2 linked regions of the Oreochromis niloticus genome follow. The main gene of each other region encodes a partner of the protein of the gene in region 2 in a complex. Links are inferred from orthologs where the notes say so. Each region holds a gene or a part of one and is shown on either strand. Other genes may lie near its edges.

Region 1 (7,681 bases), on a different chromosome or scaffold from region 2:
AGATATAATGGAGACATTACAGAAAAACAAAAAGTCAGTAAGTTTCCATGGAGGCATTTTATTTAATCTAAGGAGTTTTCAGGGCTGTTAGTGAGAGCATAACAAAAACCTGGTCCCTTTTTTTAAGCGTCTCCAAGTCCACCAAACTGTTTGACTCCAGCCTGCTGTCCTCCTGCTGTGATGCGACTGAGGGGAATGAGCTTCATGGTGGTCTCTTTCAGGGAGTACCAGCGGTTGTGCCACGTGACCCAAATGATGCCGTTGTCGAAGCCAAATTCACCAGCATCCTTTTCAGTGTACCTGCCACCTGCATAAAGATAATGCAAACAGTTTAGAGCTCACATTAATTAGTACTTTTGTCTCTGTTTATGCTAACTGTGGCTGCTTTTAGCCAGGAGGGTCTTACCCTGGTAGTATTTTCCATTCAAATGTGCAGCATGACATCTGTTCATCCACCACCCAGAGCCGTCCTGCTGAGCACAGTTGCCGTCGTACTTGTCGTTGTCCTTGTCAAAGGTGCTGAACTGCATGCCGTTGTGTGCTGTGTAGAACTTGTCGCTGGGGTCATCTCCAAAGTCAAAACCATCAAATGCATCTCCTGCATCTCCACCGAAGTAGAAACCATAGGTCATCCGGTACATGTCGATCTCTGGCCCCACTCTGAACATGTTATAGTCGGCATACCTGGAGAAATACGGCCACAGAGAATCGTGGATCTAAAGTTAGTTTGTGGTAACAACTGTTGAATCATCTCTTTTCTTCCTCTAAGGTAACCTCGCTACTAGAGCGGTCATGTTTGCCTTGTCCACAAGTCCCTTTCTTACATAATCTGTTATCATGTGTGTGTGTGTGTGTACCTTTTGTTGCCCTCCCAGTCAACAAGCTCTATCCTGAGCACAGTGGGGAAGTTGGTGCTGGTAGTGAGCGCGTGAATCTTCTCGTTACCTAACCAGAACTCTGTGGTGTCATCTGGTGAGAGATAACCGAAGCCCTCCTTGTACTGGACCCAGTTCTTGTGGAAGTCCAGACTGCCATCACGTCTCTGTAGGCAGGAAGGCGTGATCAGAGTCATCAGTTTATTGGGTGGTTTCACCACTTAGTTAACAAAACATGATTTAATGCCTTCATGACTTAATGAAAATTGTAGTGAATATTTAATTTTACATAAATGTAAAGATTAATTAAAATAGATAAAATACACAGGAATCACTAAGTGTAAGATCAATGATACGTACTCTTTGTATTACTGTGAAGCCACGTCCAAAGCTGTCAATCTCACAATAGACCAGGAACTGCTCCGTTGATTTTAATGGCTTCACATAGTAAAGACCGCTGGTGGTGGCGCCCTTGTTTGCAACGTCCTGGCAGTCTGATTAGAAAAACATATTTTTTAAAAATGAGCAGCCTATTATGAAACACAAAAACCGGAATATTTTCTAAGTTGGGTAAATAATTATGTAATCACATCCACTACAAAAGGTCACAGGACATTACATCTAGGATAAATGTTTGCTCTGCTCTGAAGCAGCATATTGATTTTAGCCTGTGACTAAATGCTGAAAGACAACAAATGTTGTTCAGATGAGACAAGATTGAGAAACTTCTTGTGAAACAGAAATAACCTAGAGGTCATATTATTTCTTCTTCTTCTTCTTTTTTTACCTGTTCCTGTGGTGGGTTGGATCTCAACTGTGTCTCTGCAGGGCTCATTGCATTTCTGCTGCAGCTGATTCGAGAGCTGTTTCAAGTCTGCCATTCTTCTCTCATTGGAGGAGATTACGTTCTGAAGTTCACTGGAAAGAGAGGATTACAGTCTATGAGCTGTACCTTGGTTTTATACACAGATAAAAAGCTGAGATGAATCCTAAGTATGAACCTGAACTTATACAAAGATCTAATTTAACGTATAAGGTCAATAGATTTTTAGGGACGTAGTGTGGGTAACAAATGTCTCCTGAGTACACTGAACTGTGGGAATAGGTGGACACTGATGCTGCTATGTATAGAAATTCAGTTTCAAGCTTCCTTTAGAGTTTTGTGTTTTGCATCTTCACATTGAGAACCTGACAGAAGTTCATGTTTATTCAGCAACAACACATTATATTAAAAAAAGAATAATTTATATGTCGTTGATTTAAAAAAATCAATCAACAAACGAGCATTGTAACTAAATGCAGTGGAGTAACTAACTGTTGTAAGAGTATGCATTGAACTTTTGGTAAGGTAACTTACAATATTTGCTGTTCTTGAGCAATTATGGTCTTCTCAAACCGAACAACATCATCCAGGATACTTGTTGACTTTTTGAAATGCACGTCTGAAATGGAAAAAATGAGCCGGTTTGACTGTATTCTCGATTTCGCATCAATATGCTGTTCAACCTGATCGCATTAATGTAAGTGTTAAGATGATTAAACGTCACAAAATAACTGCGTTACCTGGGTCAGAGCTCTTTTGATGTGCCACAGTTGTATCTTTCATGTAAGTAATTGTTTCTTCAGCCCCTCGAGTCAAATTGGCAATTGTTTCCAGTTCCCTTAGCAACTGGTCCAAATCGTGGTCCACCATTTCTGTATATCTTTGCATGTAATCAGCAACTCCACATGTGGTTGGACAGTATTTTCCCTAAACACAGATGGAGCATGTCAACAAAACAAACAAAACTCTTTATGATGGTGTGCTTTTATAATAATAGAATCCATACTGGAAGAAGCTTTGATTTAAAGTTGCGCACTTACAAAGCCATCATTGGGGGTGCATTCTTGTATGTTGTCTCCTCGGATTTGCTGCACAAAAAAAAGGAACAATAAATATAATTTTTATGCTCAATAAAACTACATCAGCAAAACTGCAAGAGTGCTCAGTGACTTACTGCTGACGAGAAGGAGAAAAGTAACAAAAGTCCTCCTGCTGTTGTAAGAAGTGATGGAGCCATGTTGCTTTGGCCGCCAGTTGTGTTTTCGTCTTGTTGGAGAATGAAGAGAAGCTCGACTCTGTTGGTTATTTATCTGAACAAGGTCCTCAGTCCAGACTTTGATAAGGGGTTCATAGGTAAACAATCCCACTCACTTTGTTGTGAAAATCCCATGACTCAAATGTCCAACAGACATCATTGCCAGGAGTTGATGCGGTCTGCAACTGATAGCTGTGGTAAAGGACACTTCTATGAGATTGCCATGTACTGTACGTCTTTGTAAACTCTGATGATGGTAAAGCTGTCAACAAGTTGGAAGAAATCGTGACTCGCACTTTAAGACCTGACAGTATTATTGAATTTGGAAACCAGCGCAATTGAGCTCGCTCTAGCCAAGAGTTCAGATTGTAACATAGTTTATTTACTTTTCTTAAACTTTGCTTGATAAAACACAGACAACAAGCATTCCTTGAAAAAATGCCATAATATGTTCCTGTGAACAAAAACAGGATTAAACACATTGTTTTTATATTTTAGACTGATGAACAATTACAATTATTAACAGCACACATTAATAAATCATTATGATGATTACTGACTTTGGCTTGCTTAATTCAGACTTGCCTGAATGAGACTTTTCTCCCGACAACAGTAATTTTATTTAATGATGACTTTGATTCTCAGTCAGCCGGCTAAAATTATTACTATTCTTTACTATCCTAACAAGGGTCCCCTAACCCTAGCAAAGTAGTTATCTGTGGTTTCTGACATGTGATGATACGGTCATGGTATAAAGCAGGAAATGCCTTCATCATAACTACATCGCGCAGCCTGCTTGTAAAGCCATCACTGAATGCAAACAGCTTTAAAACCTTTCTGTAGTGAATCCACCAGGCTTTATAATGTCGCTAAAATATGTTTACTAGACAAACTGTTTTAGTGTAACAGGGCAGGCTGTGATACTTTGAAACTTTTATTTTGAAAGTTGACTGCACAGGCATGTAAAACCAACCACTAGTGGGAGTGGAATCACAATAGACCCCACAAGACACATACAGGACACCAAACACACCAACAAACTGAAGACTTTAGCAGGATTCAGTCTGATGCAGTGAACTGACTTTTAAACGGTTATTTTTTTGTTGTTGCTGAGCAAGAACAGAAAACTTGGGACACAACAATAACACAATTTTCTGAACTATCTAAATCTTTGAAAATAAGCTACATTAGACAGCACTGAAGTAAGCTTTGCCTTACTGAAGTTTCATGAAAACAAGTTTCTGTTACAAAGTGTCTGTGAACAAAATGCTGTTGGAAAGAATCATAGTGGAATAATCCCTGTGGACTTTGCAGTCTGTATGTATGCAGGGGAACACTAACGATCCTCTTCCTTAATTCTGCAGGAAAAATCTACTTTTCTAGGAAAACAAAGCAGCTAAGTTACAGGCTTAATTTATAAGGAGCACATGTGCTGCTGCGTTATTGTTGACTGAGCTGGAGCTGAACTGAAGCAAATACAGACCAACATGAAAGAGCAAAGAAAAAACCCCAAACTGTGGCGTGTGGTCAAAGAAAACTCAGATATGATTAATGAGTAACTGGAGCACTCTTTGTCAGGGGCTAATTTCAATTTCATGGACAAGTCAATGTAAATAACAACAGCTTTGTTGTAGATGAATGCATTATAAAACATTTTATAAAGTTGCTTTATTTTAGAGGGACATATAGTCCTATTCAGTCCATCTGAAGTAATCTCATCATGAATGCACATGTAATTTTCTAGATGATTCTATGACTTCCGTGTCTTCTGTGTTTCTGAGGGAACTTTTATTGTATTTATCAATAGTACTTAGTTGTTTAATACCCATAAGACAATACATGAACACATATTCAGCTTTACTCCACAGTGTCCACAGGCCCAGAGGGCTTTTGACCTTTATTATGGTGTTGGGAAATAACAGCTAACTGAGTTAGTGAAGCATGAATCCAGTGCATTTGAGCCCCAAGCCTTCTTGCTAACTACTGCATACATAAAAATACACATACTGATACATGCATACATCATGAGGAATTTTATACTAGCCTTTATACTACTCTATCACATGAATTTCACCCTTGGGGTTCCCTGTTGACAAAGCAATCATCAAATTAGCTAATATCCTCTACCCATTTCTCTACAAGTTCATGCTGCCAGCTTATATATGCCATTACACAATGCTCTGGGAACGTGACTGTAATCCCTGCTCATACACGTCAAATGATCAGGTGGGTATTAAATCACTTAAATCAAGTGCTGTGGGGGCATAGAAGCACCTAAACACCTAAAACAAGCAGTTCCAAGGACCAGAGTTTAGAAACAAAACATTATTGTAATGTAACTGCATAATGTTGTAGAAAATGACCTACAACAATGCTGTTTTGGTAAATAAGTTAAATCAAAGTGTGTCTTACTTCTTTAAATACTTTAACATTTAAAAAAATATATATTTCTGTACATGCATATTTTTAATATGTTTATTTCAATTTAAAGAGATAAAGGAGACACTAGTCTTAAAAGCAGCTGGCATTACGTCCAATCCGGATTTGGCTCCCGGAAGGATCTCTTCATCCCTGGGTCAAAGGTCAAACTCTCTTCTGTGCCTCATTTTACTGAATAGTCTTGTGCCATTAAATTAAAAAAGATGAAATGAAATTTTAAGGATCAGTTGGATGGATCATGGATCATACCATGGAGGGTTAAGCTAACCCCCACTAACAGAGAGCGAGACAATACAGTTAATATTAAACTAAACTACAGGTAAAAATGCATGCACTAATGCAATTTTGTGTGTGCCCAGTAAAAGCACCAATTCAGCTCATCACAAGGCTCCAGTTTCATGCTGCTCTGCTTGTTTGAGTCACAGTTACAGGAAACATGCTCTCATGAGGCAGATGAGTTTGAAAGTGCCTCTACTGTCTTTTTATGAATGAACTGACTTTTATTTCTACTGTCAAATTGTTTGCAGACTTCACTGCTATAATTTCAGAGTATGGTGGAAAAATCAAATAAGCAGACACGAGTAAGTAAACAGATCCTTCCAAAGATGCTGTGTAGTTTTAAATAGGTGTAGCTGCTGAAAATTGTTTTTCCGTGGCCATCTCTTCAAGGTGCTGTGAGCAAACACACCTCTTTTTATTACAACAGAACAAACACTAAAGATACATGTGACTTAATATAGCTTAATAATGGTTGATCTGTGGGCCCCATGTTGACATTAAATGATAAACCTTGACTACCTTTGTGTGACCAGGTTTTATTATGTGGAAAAAAACAGGCCCAGGATGGATATAAAGCCTCGCTGACCTGAGAATGAACTGCCAGGCCCATGAACCTAAACAGTGTTGAACTTTTGCTGAACTTTCTAGCGACACCAGATGGAAAGTGCCTCTTTCTTTCTTTAAGTGCCATGAAGACACGAGCACGCTCTCTAAACACCGGGTTCAGGATGTTTAGATGTGTTTTGGGCTGTTGTCGATGCGTTCACACACTCATGCCCGACTGACATTCTTACACTGTCGCACGTTATCAGGATGCAAAGCAACCAAAAAAAGCAAGTTTTTAGTTTTCTTTATAAAGACTGTGCATACTCTGGAAATAGGTCCAAAGAATATTATGCAGAATAAATGCAGTTTTCTTTAAAATGAAAACATTCACATTCCACATCTTAAGAAAATACGTCCTTCTGTCAGTAATCAACTTAAGCACCAAAGCTGAAAAACAAAGTCAGCATAGTTCACAGGTCGTCTGACCAGGAATTAAATTTAAAGAGCCTTGTTTGGATGCTTCAGCGGTCACAACTATAATTCTGGAGCTGTTTGACCGTGGCGTAAATCTCCCCAGGATGGAGGGCAAAGGTTTGCGGTTTGGCCACATTCGGGTTCAACCTGCGGCCGCGCGCGGTTAAGTCGCCTCAGCTGAAGGTGGTGTGATCTGCAGTAACACATGCGGGGACACTGACACTTTGTTGTCCACATATCACAAACTAATGTGTAAAAAGTACATTATCATCATCAGTAATTCTTCTAATATCAGGAAATGTAGCAGATTTGCAGTCAGCGTAATTCACACAGACTTTATTTGGTTCTGCTGGTGTGTTTTTGTGGAAGTAAACTTTTTATGTTAATAATGCAACTACCTGTGTTTGTCTGCTGTATATACGCATTCATGTGTTAATAAGAAATGCATCAGATCAAACCTTTGTGGAATGCATAACAATAACAATCTTCTGTGCACTGTTTGTGGCCCTCGCACTCATTAGACACAAAGTCCTGAATGATAGCTTAACATTACTCATGATTCCCTTAAAACTGGACCAGGTAGCAGTTTTTATGAAACATTACTTCATCTAGAGTATTGTTGTGGGTTACGCATTTACTTGGCAAGCAAAAGGTCGCTGGTTCCAGCTGGAGACACAAATCCCTTTTGGGATTGTGTCAGAAAGAGCCTCTGGTGTAAAACTCTACAAAATCAAAAATTTGGAGTTACCCACTGTGGGGAGCAGCTGAAAGTGGCTTCTTCTTCATTATCATCCATCCACAGGTGAATTCACAGCTGTGCGTGCTACATGTTGCCTGTTGATGTGTTTTCGACATTAGATGTCAGCTACACAGAGAAATAACCTCCAGCTAAGAGCCAAATCTCTGCTTTTATTCATGAGATTGTTGGATGATGCATAGAAAGATAGAGGATATTAACAACCGCATTCTTTAATGTTTTCTACGCTATTG
Region 2 (7,467 bases):
TGCCAGGTGTTTCATCGAATTTGAGATGTTACCTCCTTTGACAGTATCACAGTATCAGCTTAAAGCAGCGGTCCCCAACCCCCGGGCCTCGGACCGGTACCGGTCCGTGAGTCGTTTGGTACCGGGCCGCTAGAGTTGAGGCTCAGGTGTGAAATGTATGGTTTTCAGGGTTTTTATTGGTTTTCAGCGTTATTTTGTTATCGTTTTTATCGTTAACTCGGTTTTCCTGGGTCTTTTCACGTGTGTTATGAATAAATCTTCTTTTTTTTGGTACCGGCACTAGTTTTATTTTGTTGTATTTATCCGCGACACCTTATTGCCTGTCCGTGAAAATATTGTCGGGCATAAACCGGTCCGTGGCGCAAAAAAGGTTGGGGACCGCTGGCTTAAAGCACTTGTTGCAGGCTGCCGAGTTTGCATCTTTTGCTGTGAAGTACAGCCAGACTTTTGACCGTTTCGCCTTGGGCATTTTTAATCTGTAGCTCTGCTCTAAAAGAACGTACGTACCTGGCCCCGCCTACTATCCTCAGAAACGTAAAATGATTGGCTAGAATTGGCTCAGGAAAAAAAAAGCACCGAAATGTGCGCTGCTTTTCGGTCTGGTTATTACCGTTTATGTCAGAACCGGACACCGGTACCCATCCCTAATTACAAATAAATATCAAGAATATTGTCAGCAACATTACTGAGTAGAAAAGAGCGTGTGTAAAAAGGACGTAGCTATTGCAGTGTTTACAGTGTATTAGTTGGAGGAGTTGTACAGGGAGATGGCCACAGGCAGGAATGATTTCCTGTGTCGTTCAGTGGTGCTTACGGTGCGCACACACCGAACGCGATAGAGGCGGCCAGAGCGTCAGGTGTACATGTAAAGTCAATGGAAAGAGCGCGATGACACGCGATTGCGCATCCGGCGAACATGCGGAAGCAGATTTGCGTCGCGAAAACGCCAAAACCCGTGAAACGCGCGTCAGTGTACCGCGTGGGGCGCGTTTGACTCGCGAAGAAAACCACGCGTGTCAGATTGTGTGCTGCATTTTGTGCACACGCCCATACCGCGCCAACCGCTGGAGTTGGAAAATATGAACTCCGGCGTCAAATCGCGCCCCGACAACCAATCAGGAGGCCGGTGACGTGGCTGTAACCAGGTCACAGGGGCAGATCAAACCAAAGCTCTTCATTCTTCATTCCGTATGGAGGAAAAACTCATCACTGCCGTGGCTAATCACCCAGAGCTGTATGATGCCAGCTGCTACTTCTACCGAGACAGGAATAAAAAGGACCGAGCTTGGAGGCACAGAAGTGAGGAGATCGGGCAACCTGGTAAGTTCATTCATTCTCCTTTTTAATTTTCAGACTGACCCGATAAAGCCGCGCAAAAGCTAGCAAGCCCGCCTACTGTCCCGCTATTTTCCCACTGATGTACAAATACCTTTCCGCTAACAAGATAATGTGTTTATTCAGAGGACATCTGCAGCACAACACATCTGGCACAACTTCCTCCCACATTTCCGGTCCACGCGCGTGGAAAGATGCAATTTTGAGGCGCGATGGGTTTTTCTTGGACACGCGTTGAGGTGCGAATGTGCACGCGTCAAATTAGGGGCGTTTAGGGCGTTTTCGCTCGCCTCTATCGCGTTCGGTGTGAACGCAGCCAAGTCTCTCACTGAACGTGCTCCTGTGACTGACCAGCATGTCATGTCATGGAGTGGGTGGGAGGAATTATCCAACATTGTCTTTATCTTGGACAACATCCGCCTCTCCGACACCACCTTAAGGGAATCCAGCTCCATCCCCACAACATTACTGTATCGCTTTGTTTTTGATTTGATAAATATTGATGTTCCTTATATTTGGTGTTAATGTGCAGCGCTTTGGTCAGGCTGGTTGTTGTTTTTAAAAGCGCTTTATAACTAAGCCAAGAGTGAATATAAAAAAAAATGTGGGCCGCTAAAGACATTGGGGGAATGGCCCTCCCAAATGTGAAGTTGTATAATTTAGCTTTTGAAATGTCAAGACTGGCCAAGCACTGGACAGGTTCGGACTCTGAGCTGAGCTGGATGAAGATTGAACAGGAACTAGTGAGCCCTTTTACACCCTTGGATGTTCTCTCACAGGGCTCAGCAATTAATGGACAAGACTTTCATAATAACCCAGTGCTCGGGTATTCTAAAGCTGTCTGGGTAGAGGTGCACAAGATGTGTGGAGCCTCTTATTTAAGACAACCTTATACCTCGCTATGGAACAACACTGCTGTACAGATTGGGAGAAAAATGGTGTTCTGGAAGGAATGGCTTGTCAAAGGCATACACAGGATAAGTGATCTTTACTCAGGGGGAGTGTTTATGTCATTCGCTGAAATAACCCAAAAATATGGTTTGATAGGAGAAAATAATTTTTGGAAATATTTACAAATAAGGGATTGTATTACCAAAGGAAAATTTACTCAAAGCACAAATATGGTGGTGGAGTTTTTAGAATTGTCCAGTACAGCACATAGAGCAGCTGTTTTCTACAAACTGTTTAACAATCTAAAAAAAGAGATATGTGAAAACTTGAGGATTATATGGCAGAGAGATTTGAGTTGTGCAATTTCTAAAGAAGATTGGTGTAGAATTTTGTCATTCTCTGATAAATATATAAGAGAGGCCAGGGGTAAATTTACTCAGTACAAATTAATACACAGATGGTACTTCACTCCGTCCAAACTTTATAGAATGGGAATCAGTCCCAGTAATATATGCTGGAAATGTAGTTCAGATCCAGGGACATTTATGCATGCTATTTGGGAATGTGGGAAAGTTTATCCCTTCTGGCAAAAAGTATTGGACAAAATAGGAAGGTGGATTGGTTTAATAATACCCTTGTCACCAAGACTGTGCTTATTAGGGGATCGGTCGGCGTTGCCTGGGGTTTCAAAATATGACTTTGTGGTTATAAAGGTGGGGGTAATTGCAGCGGCCCAAGTTATTCTCAGTGTATGGAAGGAGCCATCTCCTCCAGAATATAATAGGTGGAAAGAAAATATGCTGAAAATGGTGTCGTATGAAAAATTCTTGGCTAGGATTAATGATGATAGGGAGGGTTTTGACAAATCATGGGGACGTGTTTTTGGCTGAGATGGTTGAAATTTATTTGGTCAGGACAATTATCTTTAGTTAAATTTTATGCTTGCTATGTTGTATGTTTGTGTAGGCACTCAGTAACGGAATAACTTAAGAATTTGATTGTATTGTCCTTTTTTTGTGTGTGTACTGATCCCAACCATGGGATTGGAAGCTGTCTTTTTTTTTTTTTTTCCTGTTGTTGTTTGGTTTGTTGTTTTGTTTTTGTTTGTATGTGGTTAAAGGTTAAAAACAAATAAAGACTTTAATTACAAAAAAAAAGCGCTTTATAACTAAAGTAGTATCCTATGGTACAAATAGATTTGTGCTTCAGTTCTGGTGATTGAAATTCCCAAAGTTTTATTTTGTGATGCTAAGCACTAATTAGCTGATATGCATCTCTGCATTTGACCTGTTCAGTTCATAAGTAGCAAGCTGCTAACTTAGCACTCCACACTTTTATCCAGAAAACATAACGTCTGGGTCTTAAAATCCAACATGGGTGCAGCCAGAAGCCTCATGTTGACGTGTAAAAGCAATGGTGGCTACATCCACTCAAGTTTCATAGTGTGAATGCCAACAAAGGAGCAGCATATACACATTTAAAAGAATGGACTTTTAAGATCTGGAGACACCAACCATTTTTAATATAAAGTCTTTGGTGACAAAGTATTTATGATTAGATTGATTTTATATACATTTACCTAATGGTTTACCTTAGAAAGAGAATAAAAATATGAAGCTTTAGCTAAGCGGCTTATACACGTACACCTTAACTTGAGAAGCTAAATCATTATTGTTATTTAAAAATTGTTATACATTTTATCATTGCATTGTTTTTTACCTGTATGTAGTTAACTTTTTTATTCTCTGGTGTTTTTTTGTGAAGCATTTTGTTATCTTTGTATTGAAAGGTAAATAAATGACATTTTACTGACGCATGTAATAATAATACAGAGAGATTCATTTATATTTTAACAAAACCCACGGTAATGCTGTAAAATGGGAGTAAATAGAAACTCTGTTCCATCATTTTAAAATCCTCTAATGTTTTTGTTGCCCTTTTCTGATTGAGTTCAGTTGAGTCAATGTTAGTGTCGTTGGTGTTTGTCACTATTTGGTTGGTGTAAAATGTACAGGAACTGACAAGAAATCCTGCTGCAACTGAACTGAGTAGGCAGCATGTTTGACTTTAGTGTGTGTGTTTGAATGCATTATTTTTGAGTAAAGATACACACAGTACAACAAACACATCGATTAGAAGCTGTTGCTCAACTCTGATCTGACCTGACCAGTGTTTGCTGATGACTCACCGGTTTGTGAAATTGAACCTGGAGGCTTCAAATGATCAGAGAGCAGCGTTAGAAAATCATTCAGCAACAACTCTTCACACAGAGAGCGAGTGACAGAAACGGCAACGATGGAGCGACTCTGTTTCCTTTTGTGTCTGATATGTGTGTCCTCAACACTGGTGAGTTTCTCTGATGTTTTTAAATAATTTTACAAAGATGTGGCACTGAAATTTTTTTTTTTTTTGTCATTTTAGTGTATGTACTGTGTTGTTTAATAAATAACAAGAATAATTATGTATTTACTGATCACTCATATGTTTATTATTTACTGATATGAATACATGAACATAGCATTTGGCTGTTCTATTTATAAAGATGTCGAGCGCACTGTCTTATTCATTATTTACTCTTTTATTTTACTACCTAAGTTTATTAGATATATTTCTGGTAATTATTATTATTATTATTATTGTTGATTTATATGAATATAGTAACAAAAGATTTAGAAGTTGTGGACGTTGGCTTGAGTAGAATGCTGAATACTGATCAATCAAAGAAACAGTCACTATCTTTAGCTGTTTTAACAATTCAAATAAAGGATGTGTAACTTAGCAGACCTAACAAAACAGAGCTTCATTTATACTTACAGTTTTTATATATATATTATTTAAAGCCAGTTAGTTAAATACTGCAGACTGATTAACTACTACTGACCTAAAAATTTTTGTATGTAATATTTAACCTCCTAAGACCCGAACTTTTCCACAGCATGCATTTTTAATTTCTCTTTGATATTTGAGCATATTGGGGCCCGATGAATGTAAAAACAAAGAATTACCAAAATGAAAAATGAGAGCCACATATGAGGATATTCATTTAAAATTTCGATAGAACAGTAGCAGCATAATGTCCTCGTAAGTGAATATCAGGCCCTTGTAGAGCAAAATTGAGTATTTTGGTCTAAATAACCCAAAATGTGATGTCCACATATGTGGACGCCAGGTAAATGGACTGATTCTTAAATAACGCTTTTCTACTCTCCCGGAGTACTCAAAGCGCTCTATACAACATGCCTCATTCACCCATTCATACAAGCACTTCTAAACACAAGTGCAACTAATAAGCATTCACACACATTCACACTCCGATGAACGCATCTTGGGGTTAGTATCTTTTCAAGGATATTTGGCATGCAGACTGAGGCAGCCAGGAATCAAACCACCAACCTTCCAATCAGTAGTTTATCTGCTCTACCACCTGAGCCACAGCCACCCCAGGGTCCTAGGAGGATGATAAGAAAAATAATTATGTACTAATAACAGTATAAAATTGAGTACATTTCAAAATAAATTTGCAATAAATAAATTTGAAAAGTATTTCTGCTTATATAATTATTGTAATTGTGTATTTTACTTTATAAATATTATTAATAAAATCTTTATTTGTGGGTAAGAAGCAAACAATTTAAGTATTTTTAGTCACTAGTATTATTCCAAAGAAACACCTCCTAATTTGAGCAGTTCAGTTGAAATTGGTTATACGTGTTATAATGTACATGTTTGATGTGCAGCATCTGTTTTTAAGATTTTTAGTTAGATTTATCAAAGAAGTTCAGTATGTATCACCAAGCCTTTAACCAGGGTTTTGTTTAAGTAGGGTTTCATTGTAAAAGTCATTGTTGTAGACCAAATGGACTAAAATAGCGGCTCTGTCACAAAGACTCTTTGTTTGCAACTATATGTGCATAGTCACCCCTCAAAAATACATTGTACACCACGAACAACCCAGAGACAATAGCTATGTTTTCTGCCCTAACTAAAACAATGTTGACTTTCTTGTCTTCGTCTAGGCCCAGATTGATCCCAGGGGAGGTCGTCCAGTGGAGCACGGCACCAGAAGTGAAAAATGTGCCACTGAGAAGGAATGGCCTTTCTGCACAGACGTTGAATGGGTATGCAGATTCCCTGTTGTCTCTCAGAGCTCAAGCTAGGCAAAGTTCTTATTGACCTCAATGAATGTGTGCAATTTTAAGATTCAATGTTTACAAGAAAGCTGGACTGGGGAAATTCCAGTTTCTGTCAGTGCAAAAGTCTAACTATGTACTTAATCGATAAGATTTCAAAATTATGTCTTAGTGTTTATATATGGTAAAGAGATGCTGCTATAACAAGTGAAGGAAATCTGTCAGCACGAGCCGATTGCAAGAATTAATGCTTAAAATGACAGAAATCTATAATAACTGGTATATTGTGAATGACCATGAGGGAGGTCTTTATGGGTAGGAAAAACTGTTAAACTTGTGAAAATACACTACAGAATGTACAATCCGGGCCAGACTGGAGCTTTTGTGCCTCTGGTTGTACTGCCAATTATTATAATAACCTGTTGTTCTGTATTTAAATGACTCTGATTTTTATGTGACACAGAAATAAGGAATAATTATGTCTTCTCTTTGGTCATCCATTAGGGCCCTAAATGTCCATCAGGCTGCAGGATCCAGGGTCTGATGGAGAAATACGATCACAATATGCTGAAGAAGATTGAGAAAATCCGCAGCCTGCTGGATCAAAACAAGGCCAAACATCGCTCCGCTGATACGGTGTCGAAACAGACCTACGACTACTTGAAAGAAAAGCTAACCACTGACGCTGGTTAGTGTGGCTTTGTGCACTTCTTCTGTTTCCCAGTCAAGAGTTTAATGGTTACAGGAACCCAGTCTAGGTGGTTATAGGATACCTGGAAGTTGTTTCACAGTTAAATAAATATCTGCATAAACTGATCAAAAGTGCAACCCTAACAAGCAGCTTTAAAGGTGTATCCAGTCATATTTAAAAGATATTTAATAGAAAGAAATGGGACATGGGAGTGCGCACCAGTTTGTGGAAGCCATCATGTTGTTTTATTCCCAGTATTATCTCAATTATTTATATCCAGCAGAACCCTCCCATCTCTGGACAGCTGAAAAAATGTGTTTAAACAAAAGTAAGAATCAGTCCATCCATTTATTAAACTAAATGTTTCCTGTTTTCTTCTACTAGGCAGCGACAACAACTACTTTGACTTGGCCCAGACTC

What was found. The genes of interacting proteins can lie anywhere in the genome.
Region 1: the proteins of fga (region 2) and fgg are in contact, whole or in part, in a crystal structure (PDB 3GHG), measured with the Homo sapiens proteins. The link is inferred for Oreochromis niloticus from reciprocal best matches to the Homo sapiens genes FGA and FGG. Residues at the interface, in NP_000499.1 of Homo sapiens: Trp60, Asn61, Lys63, Cys64, Pro65, Ser66, Gly67, Met70, Leu73, Ile74, Val77, Asn78, Phe81, Arg84, Ile85, Leu88, Ser91, Tyr95, Asn98, Leu105, Ile109, Ile112, Asp116, Ser119, Arg123, Asp124, Tyr127, Val130, Ser131, Asp133; in NP_068656.2 of Homo sapiens: Thr47, Thr48, Cys49, Gly50, Ile51, Ala52, Asp53, Leu55, Tyr58, Gln59, Val62, Asp63, Leu66, Gln67, Leu69, Glu70, Leu73, Thr80, Ile87, Ile90, Gln91, Tyr94, Glu98, Asp106, Ala107, Ala108, Thr109, Leu110, Ser112, Arg113.

The regions. Positions count from the first base shown.
Region 1 is NC_031971.2:14,055,009-14,062,689, forward strand, and holds the start of fgg (fibrinogen gamma chain), read right to left. Parts: upstream 3,034-7,681; 5' UTR 2,936-3,033; coding exon 2,873-2,935; intron 2,787-2,872; coding exon 2,739-2,786; intron 2,626-2,738; coding exon 2,439-2,625; intron 2,318-2,438; coding exon 2,233-2,317; intron 1,794-2,232; coding exon 1,663-1,793; intron 1,370-1,662; coding exon 1,236-1,369; intron 1,043-1,235; coding exon 858-1,042; intron 685-857; coding exon 407-684; intron 308-406; coding exon 123-307; 3' UTR 1-122. UniProt on the Homo sapiens protein: Together with fibrinogen alpha (FGA) and fibrinogen beta (FGB), polymerizes to form an insoluble fibrin matrix. Has a major function in hemostasis as one of the primary components of blood clots.
Region 2 is NC_031967.2:50,326,271-50,333,737, reverse strand, and holds the start of fga (fibrinogen alpha chain), read left to right. Parts: upstream 1-4,507; 5' UTR 4,508-4,521; coding exon 4,522-4,572; intron 4,573-6,242; coding exon 6,243-6,344; intron 6,345-6,860; coding exon 6,861-7,044; intron 7,045-7,431; coding exon 7,432-7,467. UniProt on the Homo sapiens protein: Cleaved by the protease thrombin to yield monomers which, together with fibrinogen beta (FGB) and fibrinogen gamma (FGG), polymerize to form an insoluble fibrin matrix. Fibrin has a major function in hemostasis as one of the primary components of blood clots.